Linked DNA regions of Notamacropus eugenii. The protein of the gene in region 1 interacts with the protein of each later gene in a pairwise test. Links are inferred from orthologs where the notes say so. Each region holds a gene or a part of one and is shown in the gene's direction. Other genes may lie near its edges.

What was found. The genes of interacting proteins can lie anywhere in the genome.
Region 2: the proteins of SALL2 (region 1) and ZMIZ2 interact in binary tests that used the Homo sapiens proteins (3 or more experiments, as listed by UniProt). The two-hybrid records come from large-scale screens. The link is inferred for Notamacropus eugenii from reciprocal best matches to the Homo sapiens genes SALL2 and ZMIZ2.

Annotation. Positions count from the first base shown.
Region 1 is NC_092878.1:12,377,542-12,384,747, forward strand, and holds the start of SALL2 (sal-like protein 2), read left to right. Parts: upstream 1-4,144; 5' UTR 4,145-4,633; coding exon 4,634-4,706; intron 4,707-7,206. UniProt on the Homo sapiens protein: Probable transcription factor that plays a role in eye development before, during, and after optic fissure closure.
Region 2 is NC_092872.1:523,014,352-523,022,326, forward strand, and holds the start of ZMIZ2 (zinc finger MIZ domain-containing protein 2), read left to right. Parts: upstream 1-4,876; 5' UTR 4,877-5,034; intron 5,035-5,506; exon of another isoform or gene 5,507-6,466; intron 6,467-6,512; exon of another isoform or gene 6,513-7,975. UniProt on the Homo sapiens protein: Increases ligand-dependent transcriptional activity of AR and other nuclear hormone receptors.

The DNA of each region.
Region 1 (7,206 bases):
ATCTATATGTACATATTCTCCAAAGACTACCCCTCTGTGCTTTTCAACATTCCTTTCTTTCCCCTCCCCCTCCACTTTCCTTTCTTTCAAATCAACCTTACTTTCTCTCCCCATGTCTTTCCTTTCTTTGATCCTAGTTTCTTTTCCCCTTTCCTTTCCTGTCTCCTTGATGTTTTCATGATTTGCAACCCCTTCTTCTATTACATCTTTTCTTTTCAAATAACCAATCCCTTTAGGATCCATAAGAATTATAAATTGTCCACTTCTGTCCACCCTACAGACATCTTGCAGCATCTACAATTACAAGGGAAACACAAACACATCCCAGGATTCACCCCCCATAGGTCTCTCAGCCCTCCCCCCACCATCTCCCTTTCCCTGTTTCAGCGCCACCATCCTCTTTTACAAACACCATTTCTCTGTGTGCTTAACATGAGCAATATGGACAAGTGAAAGGGAGCATGAAAGAAGCAATTCTGATCCTCCCCTAAAGACTGGCTGAATTCCTGTCATTCTCTGAAGAATGAACTCTGAAAAGAAACACAGAAGACCAGCTAGAGCCTGAATGTTCTCCCTGATCTTTCCCCCTCCCTCTTCCCCATAACACCAGGTCAACTGCCACCTGAGTCAGTCAAGGACTAAACCATCAAATAAAAAAGGAATCCTTTGCTAAGAATTTTCTTCTTTAGTGATTTCCCAAAGAACACATCTCCTCAACTCCTCTTAGTCTCATTACATCACTATTACAGGAAACAAATGATGGGTTAAAGCTTATGGTAGGCATTTTCTCATGATCCTGAGAATATCTCTGGAAAATTTACAAGTTGAAAGTCCTTCCAGATCTGTTGAGAGGATTAAGACCTACAACTGCAGAAGTCAGAAGTGTCCACAGGTTTCCTGATTCCTAGCCTAGTTTTCTTACTATTAAACAAACACCCCTCAAAGAAGCCTACTTACTTCATTGGAGTAAAATAAAACCTTCCACAGGGTTTGAACTGTAAATAAAGTGTCAAGAGAATACTGTTCTTATAGGGAGAAAAAAGGCAGTGAAGTCTAAGGGAGAGTGCAAAGCTTTGAAAATTCTGAGTTCTTTTCTTCACTCTGTTTTTGACTTTATTCTAGTTCATTTCTCCGGTCTCTGCACCTCAGTGCTATATTCCATAGAATGTTCTGGTTCCTGCTGCCTTGACAAGAATTTTATGAAGATTGATGAGAAAACATGTAGAAAATTCTCTGAAATTTTCAAATATTCTCAGGACAGCAGTATCACCATTCTTATTTGGGCATCATACCAAGAATGAGGCACCTAAAACCTTATTTTAAGTGCTCCAGGGGTAGCCCAAGACATATGTAGGATATGGGTATTCTCAAGTGCTCTGGCTTGGAAATTGTGTCCATAATGTACCTCTTCAATAGCAATGAAAGCTGTTCCTGGAGAGAAAGAAGTTGGCCAGTGATCAAGAGGGAAGCTAAAATGGAAAATACTATAAAGAGCAGAAAAAGTCATTTCAACAGTGGTAGAGGGAACTCAGAGTTTGGGGGATTTAGTCAGTGTTTTCACTAACAACAGTGAGTAGAAATCCAAGTAAACTGCTCAGGGCTGGCACATACCACACATGGGCATTGAGGAGAAGAAATCTCAAAACCTAGAAAGCCCACCTCTACCAGTGGCAGACCTGCCAGACCTTCAGGGTCTGGGACCTCATCCCTGGGGGGCCCTCAGCAGCACCCCACACGCAGAGAAAATAGGGATTCTCTGGGGGGGAGACACTCTTGGTGATCTTATCACCCTTTTCCCACTGCATTGTGATCACAGGTGCCCTTGAACCCCTCTCCAACTTCTTGGGGCCCTCAGAGCTGGGCCTAAAAGGTCAGGTGACCATCAAACATTCTCATCCAAATTAAAAACCTCAAAGAAAAGATTTTTTTTCTTCTTTGCTCTTCTTGTGTTATTATAGAGTTCCCTCCTTCTACTCCCCCTTTCTCTAACTCTTTCTCTCTTTTCCCTCCCCTCCCTCACTCTCTCTCTTTCTCTCTCTCCTTTCCCCTCCTCCTTCCCCTCCCATCTCCACTTCACCACACACAGAAACTCCTTTTCAAAGGGGCTTTTTTCCAACCCAGTGAAGTAGTCTTTGCCCCTTTGTGGTGAGGGCTCATTAACATTCCCACAGCAGCATCTCTTCAAGGATTTTACTTTTGTAACTCTGTGGGGAGGTCAATAGGCCACAGGGAAGAGGTAAAAGGAAAGAAGAGTGAAAGGGGGAGGGCGGAAGAAAGGAGAGTAAGGGAAAGAACCCTTCCTTTCACAATGGGTAAAGAATTGGGGAGGGTGAAGCAGAAAAACAGAGGAAAGGAAGAGGGGAGCCAGGACCCAGGAATAAGGCAAAAATGGACCCCAGAGCTGCTGTTAGAGAAAGTTTCAGAGGCTCCTGGGAGAAAGAGGAGTCCCCTGTCCTCTCTTTTCTTATTTCACAAAGGCAGGTGCTTAATGGACCCTGCCTGATTAAAGAGTGACAAGACTGAGCTAAAAGCTGGCTCCACTGGTGAACAGTAGCCTTGGACTTTGCCTCTCCAGGCCTCAATTTTTCTCTCTCTACAATAGAATCACGATAACTGTCTATTTACAGGGATGTTATGAGGATAAATGAGATAACGTCATAGGCATTTTAATGGGGGTAGAACCAGAAGGGCGTCACCCAGGGTCCTGACCCTGAGGCACTAGGAAAATAATAATGGCTGATGGGGACAGAACTGAGACAGAGAGGTTTCTCAAACTTTTCTACTATAGGTACCTACATCATTCATCAACCTCTCCCTCCCCCCCCCAAGAGTGTCTGTCTGCCATTGCCATCCTTTTAATAGGCCCAACTTAATCTGCATTTGTTAGACTAAAGAAGCAAGGGAGTATACAAGGTATGCAGGCTCAGCTCAGCTTTGTGAGTCATCATGAGTGGCTGAGGGCACACTCAAAGAAAAACAGAGATAAAGTCTCCTTATGAAATACCGGAGAGAAGAACAATTCCTCCTTTCTCCATGGAAGGTGATAAAGCTTCTCCTGTCAGCTAAAGGTTTAGGGGGTTGGGAGTAGAGAAGGGGAAAAGAAGGAGGGTTGATCCAAGCAGAAAAACTGCTAGACAGAAGCCATCTTATACATTCAGAAGCATACTTTGCCTAAGTTTTAGGAGGGAGACCACAATCGAAAGATAGTGAACAAAAATATGAAACACCACTGACTGAGTTTATGGCTAAGTAGGGCTTGGACGATTCAGTTGTTTGCCAGAAGAGAAAACGATAGAATCCTAGAATCAGAATATTAGAGCTGGAAGGGACCTTCAACATCACCTAGTCCAATCCCTCCCATGGTAGAGACAAGAAATCTGAGGCCAAGAAAGATGAATCCGAACATCACTGGGTACTGGAATTATGAGTAACCATCTAGTCAGAGATCTCCCATCCATGCAGGAATCCCCCTCTACAACTTCTCCAACAAGTAGTATTCTTTGAGTGTGTGAATACTTGCAGTGATGGGGAACTCATTACTTCAAAGGGGACCCATTTCATTACTGGACAGTTATGGTAGTAAAGTCCTTTGTATTCAGTCAAAATCTTCTGCCCATTGATCCTGTCTTCTGGAACTACACAGAATAAGTCTATACCATCTTCCATATGATTGCCCTTATAACCGAGGAATACAGGCGGTCTTTGAGGTGGGAAAATATCCACACACCTACATATTTCTAATGATTCTGTATGGCTAGCAATTATTTCCCTCAGTGAAATTACTAACCCTCCTGTGGACCTTGTTGGGATAACTACTGTTGTTTCGAAGTCTCTAAATAGCCTTGATATGCTCTCCTTGCTCTCAAATTAATGCAACTGACTTCTTTCTTACTTCCCCAACTAGAAATTTCACAAAGCTCCCACCCCTAGAAATAGCCATATTATGAGACTAGACTGGGGTGACCCCTGTTCAGCCACAATGCAGCTCTCAATTTAGGGTTCCTCAGAGAACCAAAATGCACAGGGAAGATCTCAAAGAAAGAGATATCGAGGCAAAAAGGCAGGGAGAGTGCTCAGAGTGGACATCATGGGGAGAGGAGGACACAGGAGCCCTCCTAGAGAGGAATGGGTTAAATCCTTTCCACTGCAGTACAAAAGAAAAGAGTGTGCGGAAAGATTAGGATTTTTGCTTTTACAATGGGAGCTGCTGAAGCCTGGGGAAGAAGCAGAAGAAAAAAAGGGGGCGTCTCCTCTTTAAAGACTTGAGAGGAGTGAGAGCAAGGGAGAGACAGTAAAAGAGAGAGGGAGAGAGAGGAGAGAGAGAGAGAGAGAGAGAGAGAGAGAGAGAGAGAGAGAGAGAGAGAGAGAGAGAGAGAGAGAGAGAGAGAGAAGAGAGAAAACAAGAGAAGAAAGATATTGAGTGAGTGGAGAGAGAGAGAGAGAGAGAGAGAGAGAGAGAGAGAGAGAGAGCGCCAATTTCTCTTTGGAGAGGAAGAACCTCTGTTCTAGAGTGACCTGCCCTGGGAGAGGCATCCACTGGCTCCAGACCAAAGAGGCAGACAGGACCAAGTCACCCTTATTGAAACTAAGTGAACGATCGCCCCTCCCTTCCCCACCTCTCTCTGGCCTGGGTATGTCTCGGCGAAAGCAACGGAAACCCCAACAGTTAATCTCGGACTGCGACGGTTCCACCGCTTCTGAGAACGGTGGGTGTCCCAGGGAGGGATGAGAAGTGGGACCAAGCCCAGGAAAGCAGGGTAGTAGTTGGGGGAGAGCACCTGGGAGGTGGGCAGAGGTTGGCATCCAGAAAGAAGGCAGGAGAAGCCTTATCATTGAAGGAGTCAAGAAACAAGGCTTATGGGCTTCATGGGGTAACTTGGATTGGGGAGTGGGCCCCCTCAGCTCTCCTTGGCGTCCTTTCTCTTTTTGTTTTCCTGTTGTTTGCCTCTCAATGAAAATGGAGTTTCCAAACTGGCTCTGTCTCCCCCACCCAAAGAGTTTTTCTTCATGTCCCCTGTGCTGGCTGGTCTTTGTGCCGTTGCTAAGTAACGACCTCAGACCTGAAGACTGTCTCTTAGGGGTGGGATTTTCCCCCTTTTCTTTCTGGGGAGTTGGGTTGCAGGAGAATGAGTTGGATAAAAACGTGCATGTTCCCCTGAGAGGGAGGAGAAAAAAAGTTTCTCATTGTTGAGTTGAGAGAGAAGAGATCAGAAGAGCTCTCCCAAGGGAGAGTGCCTATCTGTGACAGTGGGAATCAGACCTGGTTTTTGGTGTGAATCTGTGTCATTTGGGGTAGATGTTAGAGGGGGTCAGCCAGTGTAAGTGGTTTAGGCTTGTGCAACAAGGCTTATTTCAGAGGAGACTGGAGAGTAAAAGTGTGGGAGTTTGCAAAAGGGGCTTTTTAGTCGCTGATGTAGCTTATATAAATGTGAATATGGATGTATATATTATCATATTATCCACTATTATAAAAAAAAACCTTGGATTTGTGGAGATTTTTTTCTTTAAAATGACAAAAAGCTTTTTGTTTTACAACTTTTATTTATTCTCCCAGCACTCCTATAGGCAGAGGCAACTTTTAATATTTCCACTTTACAAATAGAGTACTAAATTCAACAAATATTTGTTAAGGGCTTATTATGTGCAAGGGATTATATTGAGTGTCAGAGAGACTATAATGCTCCAAGTCACACAATAGGTCAGAATTATAGCTAGAACAAGGATGCTGCTGTCCTAACTTCCTGTCCCAATGTCACTATGTCAAAATTCACTAAATTATTCAGTGGGAAGGATGGATGTTTAAGTATACAAAGCCTCTATGATGACATACTGAACTCTAGAGAGAATCTGGCTACGTGAGCCCAAAGGTCATGTACTGAGCAGGCGAGGTGGGGCAACCATCATGATATACTAGTACAACTTCCCCCAAGGTAAGAGGGAAATGAATCAGACAGAACTAGGGAACTCTGGTGAGTTTGGCTAGAGGTTACAGAATGGATTCCATGAAAAACAGACTCCTAGGTAACCTATTTAGCAAAGAATGGGGTCACAGGTGAAATTCCCCCTCCCCTCCATGCTAGGAAAAAGACCTAGGGGCCACAGAGATCAGTTCACAGTGGGCTTCTGACTGTGGAACAGCCTTCCTTGGCACACAGATTGTGGTTTGAGTGAACTGCATTTTCTCCGACTCTTATGGAAAGCCCAGTTCAGATGTTCCAAAATTTCCTAGAATCCTGCTGTGTCCGTATTTAGTAGTAGAGTGGTTATGGCTTCCTACCAATCCTACGCCAAATTAGTCCTTCATAGTGCTGCTTCTAGGCAGGTTGTTTTTTCCTCATGCTCTACAGGAGATCTCCCTGAGAGGATAGGAATCATTTCACAGCCCAGCTCCCCTGCTGGTTCCATCGTGGAGCGATGCTGAACCCCTGGAGTCAACCATAGCCCTGCTTCTCTGCTCGTTTCTGCCTGCTAACTCACCCCCAGTACCAAGCAGCTCAAGGAAAAACCACTGTTACCAAAGAGGGTCAGAAAGAAGTCTCCAATGGCCACCCAGTACAGAACTTTTACTCTCCCCAGTTGTTCCATTCCACACACCTTGGATACTGGCGATGTATAGATAATGTCACATAAATCATCACCACTAGAAACAGTCTGAAGTATGAAATAGACAGTAACTCCATTTTTAGTGCTGCCTTTGATTAAGAAAAGACCAGAAATACAAAGTCAGACCAAAGGGCAGGGAAGGGATTGCAGCCTCTTTTAGGATGGCTGTCATCCAATTCCTTGGGTTTACTAAGTGCTCGCTCTTCAGAACCACCTAAACATGAACAACTAACTGATAGCTAGATGACACAGTGGACAGAGGGCTGGCTCTGGAGACTGAAAGAGCTGAGTTCAAATTTGTCCTCAGACACTAGCTTTGTGACCCTGGGCAAGTCACGTAACTTTAGCCTGCCTTAGTTTCTTCAACTGTAAAATGGGGGCACTAATAACGCCTAGCTCACAGGGCTATTGTGAGGATCCAATGAGAAAATCATTGTAAAGCGCTTAGCACAGGCCAGGACACATAGTAAAGGCCACATAAATGTTAGCTGTAAACACTACTTTTATTATCGATATTAGCTATTATCATTCTGACTGTGATTGACCTTGTTGATACCGATGAAGTTTGCAAAGGGTTTTTCTTATACTTTCCAGTGGTATCCT
Region 2 (7,975 bases), on another chromosome or scaffold:
CAGATCTCCACAGGTCACCTGTATAACCTTGACAGCGGGTAAATTAGTTTCTTTCTTTCTGACTCAACTTCATCTGCCAAGTGAGAGAGTTGTACTGCATGATCTCTAAGTTTAGAAGGGAAAGGGAAAAAAGATATGGGAGGATAGCTAGCAGGGATGGATGGATCAAGTGAAGGGTTTTTTGAGGCTAGGAGAAACACGGGCATGTTTATAGTCAGTAGAGAAGCAACCAGTAGATAAGAAAAGATTGAAGATAAGTGAGAGACTAAAGATGATACAAGGGGCAATCCACTGGAGATGGGATGGAATGGGATCACTTGGGCATACAGAGGCATTTGCCTTGGCAAGGAGAAGAATCACCTCTCCAAGTGAGACAAGGGTAAAAGAGATAGTGAAGAAAGGCTCCCCCATAGTGTGGGTTGAAGAGGAGGGGGACAAGAAGGAACTCTCAGAGAATGGCCTCAATTTTTTTTTTTTTAGTGAAATATGATGAGACAAGGTTCTCAGATAAGAGGTTAGGGGGAGGGACAGCCATGGAAGATCTGACAAATGATTTAAAAAAAGGTTTAGAAAAGGCACTATGGTAAATGGGGTAGGGAATCCATTATGGAGGAAAAAATGATTGCTTTGCCAAAGTAGGGGCCAGTTGATATTATAGAACAATAATTTGTAGTGGACCTAAGTCAGCACGTTTCTGTGATTTTTGCCAACTTCATTCAGCAGCTCATGAGTAGGAATAAAGGGAGTGTGTATGATGGAAGAAATCCAAGGTTAAGGTTTAGTATGGCAAGATTTTTGATAGGATAAAGGGACAAAGGACTCAGGAGAACAATGTGGAGTTAAATTCATCAACCAAGGTGTCAAAATGGGGAAGAGAGGTACTGAAGGCTGCAGTGAGAGTGAAGAACAGGGTCTGAAGTTGCAGCGCAGAGGGAGAGGTGGAATAAGATGTTAGGATCAGATAAAGGAATTTCAGAGTTCATGAACATGAAAGGGGGTCACATGTGAGTGACTGTGTGTAGCTGAGCAGAGATAGAGTGGGAAATGAGTAAGTGAGAAATTGAGAGGTTATGTTGTTTCAGGAAATATCAATTTGTATATTGAAGTTTTCTAATATGAGGGCAGGAGTTGGGTAGAAAAGAAAGACTGTGAGCCAGGAAATGAATTCATTAAGGAAGAAGAATGTTCTGTTCTAGAGGTCTACAGACAATGGGCACCAGAATCCTGGTTGGCTAATAAATATGTACTAAATGAACCTCAAAGGAAGAGAGCTTATTGAATGATGGTAGTCCAAAGAAAGTGTGGAAGTGGCAATGGAGAGCCACTTCCAATTCCAGTTCCCCCACAACACTCAGCAAGTTGGGGGTACACACGAACATGCAACCAATACTACAATTCATAGCCCCAGAAGCCATCTTACTCATCAAAATGGAGCCAAGTCTCAGTGAGTGCAAGGTAGAGTGAGCAAGAAAGAAAAAGATTTAAGATGCGAGCTAGTTTGTTACCCATGGAGCAGGCATTCCAGAGAGTACAGTGGAAGGAGCCGGTAGCTTTAGAGTGGAATATGGTGGGGGTGGGGATGGGATAAAAGGGGATGGGAGGATACAAGAGCAGTCAGGGGTTCAGAATCTCTGGGAGGGGCAGGGTAGGATGTGCTAGGATTACATTAATCTTTGAGAAAGAGTTTAGATAGGTTGTTGTAGTTCTTAGGAATTTGGCTGCAGGGGTGGAGTTGTCCCAGACTATATCTAGTAGCTATGTATAGCTGGAAGGGGATGGGGGAGGGGAGGCAACTGTTTTGGAATTGTAGGAAGTCAGAAAAGGTGCCTAGAGCTCTATGGAATGACTGCTTTAGGAGTCTAGGAAGCTCCCTTTCTAGGCTGGCAGGCCTAGGAGAAGCAAGAAATTCCTTAAAGCCTCAAACCCTGTAACTCAACACATTTATATACTTACAGAGGCAGTTAAGTACAATAGATACCAGTATAGTGCTACTCCAGAAGTCTGGGAAACTTGAGTGAGTTGCTAGTAGTGTGACTAAGGGTAGGCAACCACCTCTCTAAGCCTCACGAAACTCTCTAAGACCTACTAAGCTTTAGACTGCTTGGGGATCTACTTTCAAGGCTGCTCTGGCTCTTCTTACATGAAGCAAATTGTTTTGCAAATCAGCTATTGCTTTGCTTTTTTAAAAAAAAAATTAATTTATTTTTAGTTTTCAACATTCACTTCCATAAGGTTTTGAGTTCTAAATTTTCTCCAGCTTCCTCCCCCTTGCCCAAGACTGCACAGTCTGATATAGGCTCTACTTATACATTAGTATTAAACATATTTTCACATTAGTTATGTTGTAAAGAAGGATTAGAACCAATGAGAGAAACCACAAGAATGAAGAAACAAACAAAAGAGAGCAAATAGTGTGCTTTGATCTGTATTCAGACTAAATAGTTCTTTTTCTGGATGTGGATTATTGCTTTGCTTTTCATGGCAGATGTTCTATTCCCTCAAGGAGGGGTTCTTAAACTGGTATCCATGTCCATGAACTCTGTGTGTGTGTGTGTGTGTATGCGCATGCCTATAAAATGTTATATATATATAATACGCTTTTTTTTGGTCATTTTGCCATTTCTGTCACCAGCTCATTTTACAGATGAGGAAGTAAGGCAAACAGGATTAATTGACTTGCCCAGAGTCAGGCCACTAGCAAGTATCTGAGGCTGGATTTGAATTCAGGTGTTCCCGACTCCAGGTTTGGCATTCTGCACATTGTGCCACCTAACTGCCCTGGCTGATAAATATATTTCAGTATCATGAGTTTTCTTTCAAATGCTATGTATTTTATGAAGATAGTGCAGTACTCCACAAAGCTTTTTGGAACACCCTATATAAACATTATTCTGAGAAGGGTTAGTTTTGCTAGACTGCCAAAGAGTCCTACAACAGAAAAAGATTAAGAACCACTGCTTTATGTTGTTTAGTTGTTTTCATCCTGTCTGACTATCCATAACCCTTTTGGGGGTTTTCTTGGCAAAGATACTGGAGTGGTTTGCCATTTTCTTCTACAGCTCATTTTATAGATGTGGAAACTGAGGCAAGCAGGGTTAAGTGACTTGCCCAGCAAGTGTCTAAGGGCAGATGTGAACTCAGGTCTTCCTGACTCCAGGCCTGGCACTGTGCCACCTGGCTGCCCATGTCTTATGCTTTACATTTATCCAACAAACATTAATAAGGTTCACTACGTGTAATCAATCAACTAACATTTATTAAGCACCTTCTATTTGTAGGGTCAGGGGCAGCATGACAGAGTAAAGAATAGGCCTGGAAACCAAGTAGACTTTGGTACAAGTCTAGCCTCTAATTCACTGGCCATGGTCATTATGAGCCTAGAAAAGTCACTTGTCTTCCCAGGTTTCTATATAACTCTCCACTATGTTTCTGTGCCATTGCATTGGCAGAGGGAGTTTCTTCACTCAGGAGTTTCCTCTACAAAAGAAATCACAGGACCAGTCTCTAGCTTTTGTTTTATATGACAGGCACTAAGCAAGTCTCCGGAAATACAAAGATGAAAAGGTAACAAACAGTCCTTGCCCCTTAGTTTAAGATCTGGCCTGGGGATACAGTGTCTATATGCATAAAAAGTCTTTACAAAATCTAGACAGCCACTGGAAGAGATACAAAGTTCAGATAAGCTACTGTCTATCTTCATGGAGTTTATAATCTACTAGGACATAGGCAGATCATTGCAATACAAAGTAATATATTAGAGTTTAGGAGATAAAAAAATCAGGTACTATGGGGAGAGGGGGAGAGAAGAAGGTGCTTTCTGCCCTGGGGGAGTCAGAGAAATTGGTGGAGATAGCTTTTGGAGCTGGACTTTAAAGTCTGGAGAGGAATCCAACCAGCCAAGTGGGGGAGAACATTCCAGGCATGGGGAATATCTGGAGAAAAGAAGTTTACTAGACAGCAAGACCCAAGAGGCCATGAACCTCCGCCCCCACCCTACCCCCACCTCTCTGGACCAGACTTTGGCTTTGCATACAGTAGGCTGCTATAAGAGCTGAGATGAATGGTCACTGGCCACAAGTCTAGCACCGGACTGTTGTTTTCCGTGTTTGTTCTCCTCAATAATTGTGGTCAGACATATTTGTTTTCTGTCATCCACAGCACCTAATCTGCCCAGGAAATACTTGTTGGCTGACTGGTGGTTGTCCATCATCCCAATGAAAACCAAGTTTCTGGAATTTAGAGTTTACCTCTGACTTGCTCCCGAATTCCCACCCATCCCCACCCCCTTCGGTTTCCTGCCAGGACTCTGGGGTGAGAATTGTGGAATGTACAACACAATTGGAGGGCACGCCTGGCTCTGCCATGTGTCGTTCCCAGTTTGGCTACCAGGGTAGCGTGGCCCCAGATATCCAGAACCACCTGGGCTTCCATATCCCTGGTCCAGGGTGGGGGACAGTTCATTACTACACCTCTCAAATGCAAAAACAACCGCCTGGAAGTGGCCGGGATAATCGTAGTAGGAAGGGGGAGGGAGAGGGGTGGTAGTGAGTGGATGGGAGTCCAGAAGGATAACTGGGGCAGGGGGAAGCGTCAGGGGATGTGCACCTCTTCCCAGCTCCCTCCTCGCCCCTCCCCGGGCTTCGGGCAGCAGAGCAAATCCCCCCGCCCAGCTCCCGCCTTCTCCTCCCCGACATATCGATCATTCGAGGATGCGTTGCTCTCGCCTGAGGTGGGGCTGGGGGCGGAGCCAGTCTCCCAAGCTCATGCATATGGATGATGCGGCGGCAGCGGCATCTCCATTGTGCAATCGGAACCGGGAGGTGGCGGTGGCGGCGGCGGCGGCAGCGGCCCCTGGAGCAGGGCGCCTGAGCTGAGCCCCCCGGCCGGCGCGGCGGCCGCGAGGCGGCATGGAGCAGGCGGGCCGCGGAGGCGGCGGCAGCGGCAGGCAGCCGGCGAGGCGCTGAGCTGGGCCCGGAGCCGCAGCCGCAGCCGGGCTCGGGGGCTCCTCGACAGTTCCGGGCGCCCGGCCGGGAGGTGAGCGGGCCAGGGCTGGAGCTGCGGGGAGGGTGGGCGAGTTTGCCGCGCCGGAGGGTCAGGCACTGGGCCCGACGCCAGGGTGGTCCCGGGGTCTGCGAGCCCCCCTTCCTCCCGCCCCCGCCCGGGGCTGGGTTCCCCGGATCCCCTCCCGCCGCGGAACGGAGCTGCCACCCTCACCGGGGAGGCCAGGGTCACCATGGCAACGAGGCCGCCGCGGGGGCACGGGGACACGGGGGCGCGGGGCCGGCCGGAGCGAGGTGCCCGTGCCCGTGCCCAGGGCGCGCGGCCGGGCCAGGATGAGGGGCCCCCGCGGGGAGCCGCGGCAGCGCGCCCGGCGGGCCCCCTTCCCACGCCGGCGGCGGCACCGTGTGGGTGTCCGGAGCCTGCCCGCCCCCCCGGCCCCGGGCTTCCTCGTCGCGTCCCCTTCCCCTGGGCCTAAGCAGTCCTTAGGAATGGGCTAGCCAGGTCCGACGAGGCTGTGACTGTTTGCCCAGTGGAACCCAGGCGAGTGTTGGGGCGCTCCTGAGCCTCCCTCCCCCCGCTACACACCAGGCGGCTGCTGCTTCCTTTGCATGGGAGAAGGGGGGTTTAGCATCGGTGATGAGCAAGACCACCCCATCCCCCTTCTGTTCCCTTCCAATCTCTATGTTGGGACATACCTTGACTGAATTCCTTTCCTTGGGGTGGTCTTACGCAGAAATGACCCTATTGTTAGGCAGAAATAACCCTTTTGTCTCCTGAGATTTTCTCTTTCGCCCAACTTGAGCCATTGTTTGAGGTTTGATTGGGGAAAACCCAGTTGTTCTGAGAAACCAAGGGGGTGGAAGGGGGGCCCTCTGGGAACCGAGATTTTACTCATCATTCAGTACCTTCCTTACCTGTGTGTGGTGAGAGGAGTGGGCCTTCCTGGATAGCTTCTCCCTTTACAGATAGGTATTGCCAGGCCTACTTTAGTTTGTCTTGCCAGGCACACTTTGGTTTTTCTGTCCCATCTTCTTAGAGGCTTCCCCATCCCAAACTCCAATATGTGTCCACCAGTATAGTCTGTGACCCTACATGGGCTGGTCCCAAAAGGTGCTATATATTTTTCCAAGGTAGACTGTTTACCTTTCCAGTCCCCTGCCATGGCCTCCTAGAGAGCACACCCCATTCCAGAATGGGGAAACTGAAGCCTGGAGAGGCTAGAATTAGGACACTCAGGGGTGGAGCATAAAATAGCAGTACTAATAATAATGTCAGTAATAATGTCTTTGACTCAAAGTACTTCGTTTGTATTATTTATTCTCACAGATTTTTACTTAGAGAAGATTTCACAGGGACATCTACAGAATGTCATAAATCATGAAGGGTACAGATAGGGTGAACCTGGACTTAATCACCAAATCCTGGAATACTAGAACTAGGGGGCACTCCTTGAAGCTTGAAAAAGGTAAATTTAGGATAAATAAAAGAAATTCTTATTTTTCATAGTAAACTTAAAAGAACTAATTATTCCAGGAGATACAGACTAAAAATATGAATGTTTTTAAAATTAGCTAAATTAATAGATGATAGATCCGTAATGAGTTGTTAAGGGAAACTAGAATATTGTTTTTTGGGGGGTACATCTCTGATATTTTATGATTCATATCTAAAAGAGCAATTATGCTATTGCATAAAAGATCCCATGGGATCCATGTTAGACCTACAGTCATGGACTGGCAGGCCATGTTTCTGACCCAAGGAGTAGTTCTTTTGTTCTTATTCACTTGACAGTCCTATGAAATAGACAGGAGCAAGAACTGTTTCTCTCCCCCTTCACCTCCATTTTGCTTATTGGAGAGTTCAGGTTTAAAGTGATTAAGTAATCTGGCCAAAATCACTGTGACTGAAGCAGCATCAGAACCCAAGTATCCAGGCTCCTGCTTGATGCTTATTCTAGTAGCTTATGCTACCTACCAGAAATAGAACACAGCCAGTCCAGTCACACAAGGCTGTGATCCTTTCTGGTAGTACAAATTAATCCTCCTTCTCCCTATATTACTTGGGACTGAATCAAGGGAATGTTTCATTTTCTGTTCCCCACCCCTGTCAGGAACTCTTCTGTCCCATCATCGCTGTCCTGTCTGTAGTCTTCTCTCAATTCATCTGGTCTCCTTTGTCCCTTCTACGGTTACCTTTGCCACCTAGAAGCTACAAGGTAGAAGTCTGTAGCTGAAAAAGTCCTATTAGCAGCTTTTTGCAACCTCTGGAGAATGAGTTGCCACAGGGCCATCCTCTTGGGAGTCTGGTTGATTAGGTGGGAAAGCAGAGAGGAATTGATCCTGTTGCTCAGCTTCGAAGAGGAGTGAACTGTTACTCCTGTTCCCATTTGAAAGCCTAGGCTAACTAGAGTGGAGCCTGAAGAGAGTCTAAGTATATGGAGACAGACTTAGAGAGTGCCTCTGGAGCCATACAAAGTTAGTACCTGTAGGGTTAGCCATCAAGACAGACACTCAGTTTAGAATGCCTTTGCTCTTTAGTAGCTTAAAGCTGTCTTGTCTTTTCCAGTTACTTAGGAGATTTTGGGGAATCTCTTCATCAATCAGCCAGGTGCTTTTTGATCTCAGATTGTTCATGGTGAGAAAGAAGGCTAGAAACCATGTTTTCCATGTTCTCCCATTTCAAGATGGTCTGAATTTCTCATGCTATTTGACTGTACAGATTGCCCCTGTACCCCAGTGTAATAGCATTGGGGGTATCAGTCTGTCCCTGTTATCAGTGAAAGTAGGTTGAAATGCTGCCTATTACAGAGAAAGGAACTGTATATGGTGCCAATAGAGCAAAGGGAAGGGAAGCCAAGAGATTGTTGCTTCTGTGTTTTTCTTTAGGGGGTATAAAACTGAGACTCCTTCTGGGTTCTGTTGTTCCTAGCTCTGTTCCTGGGCCCAGAAGGATAGAGAATGAAATCTGCCTCCAT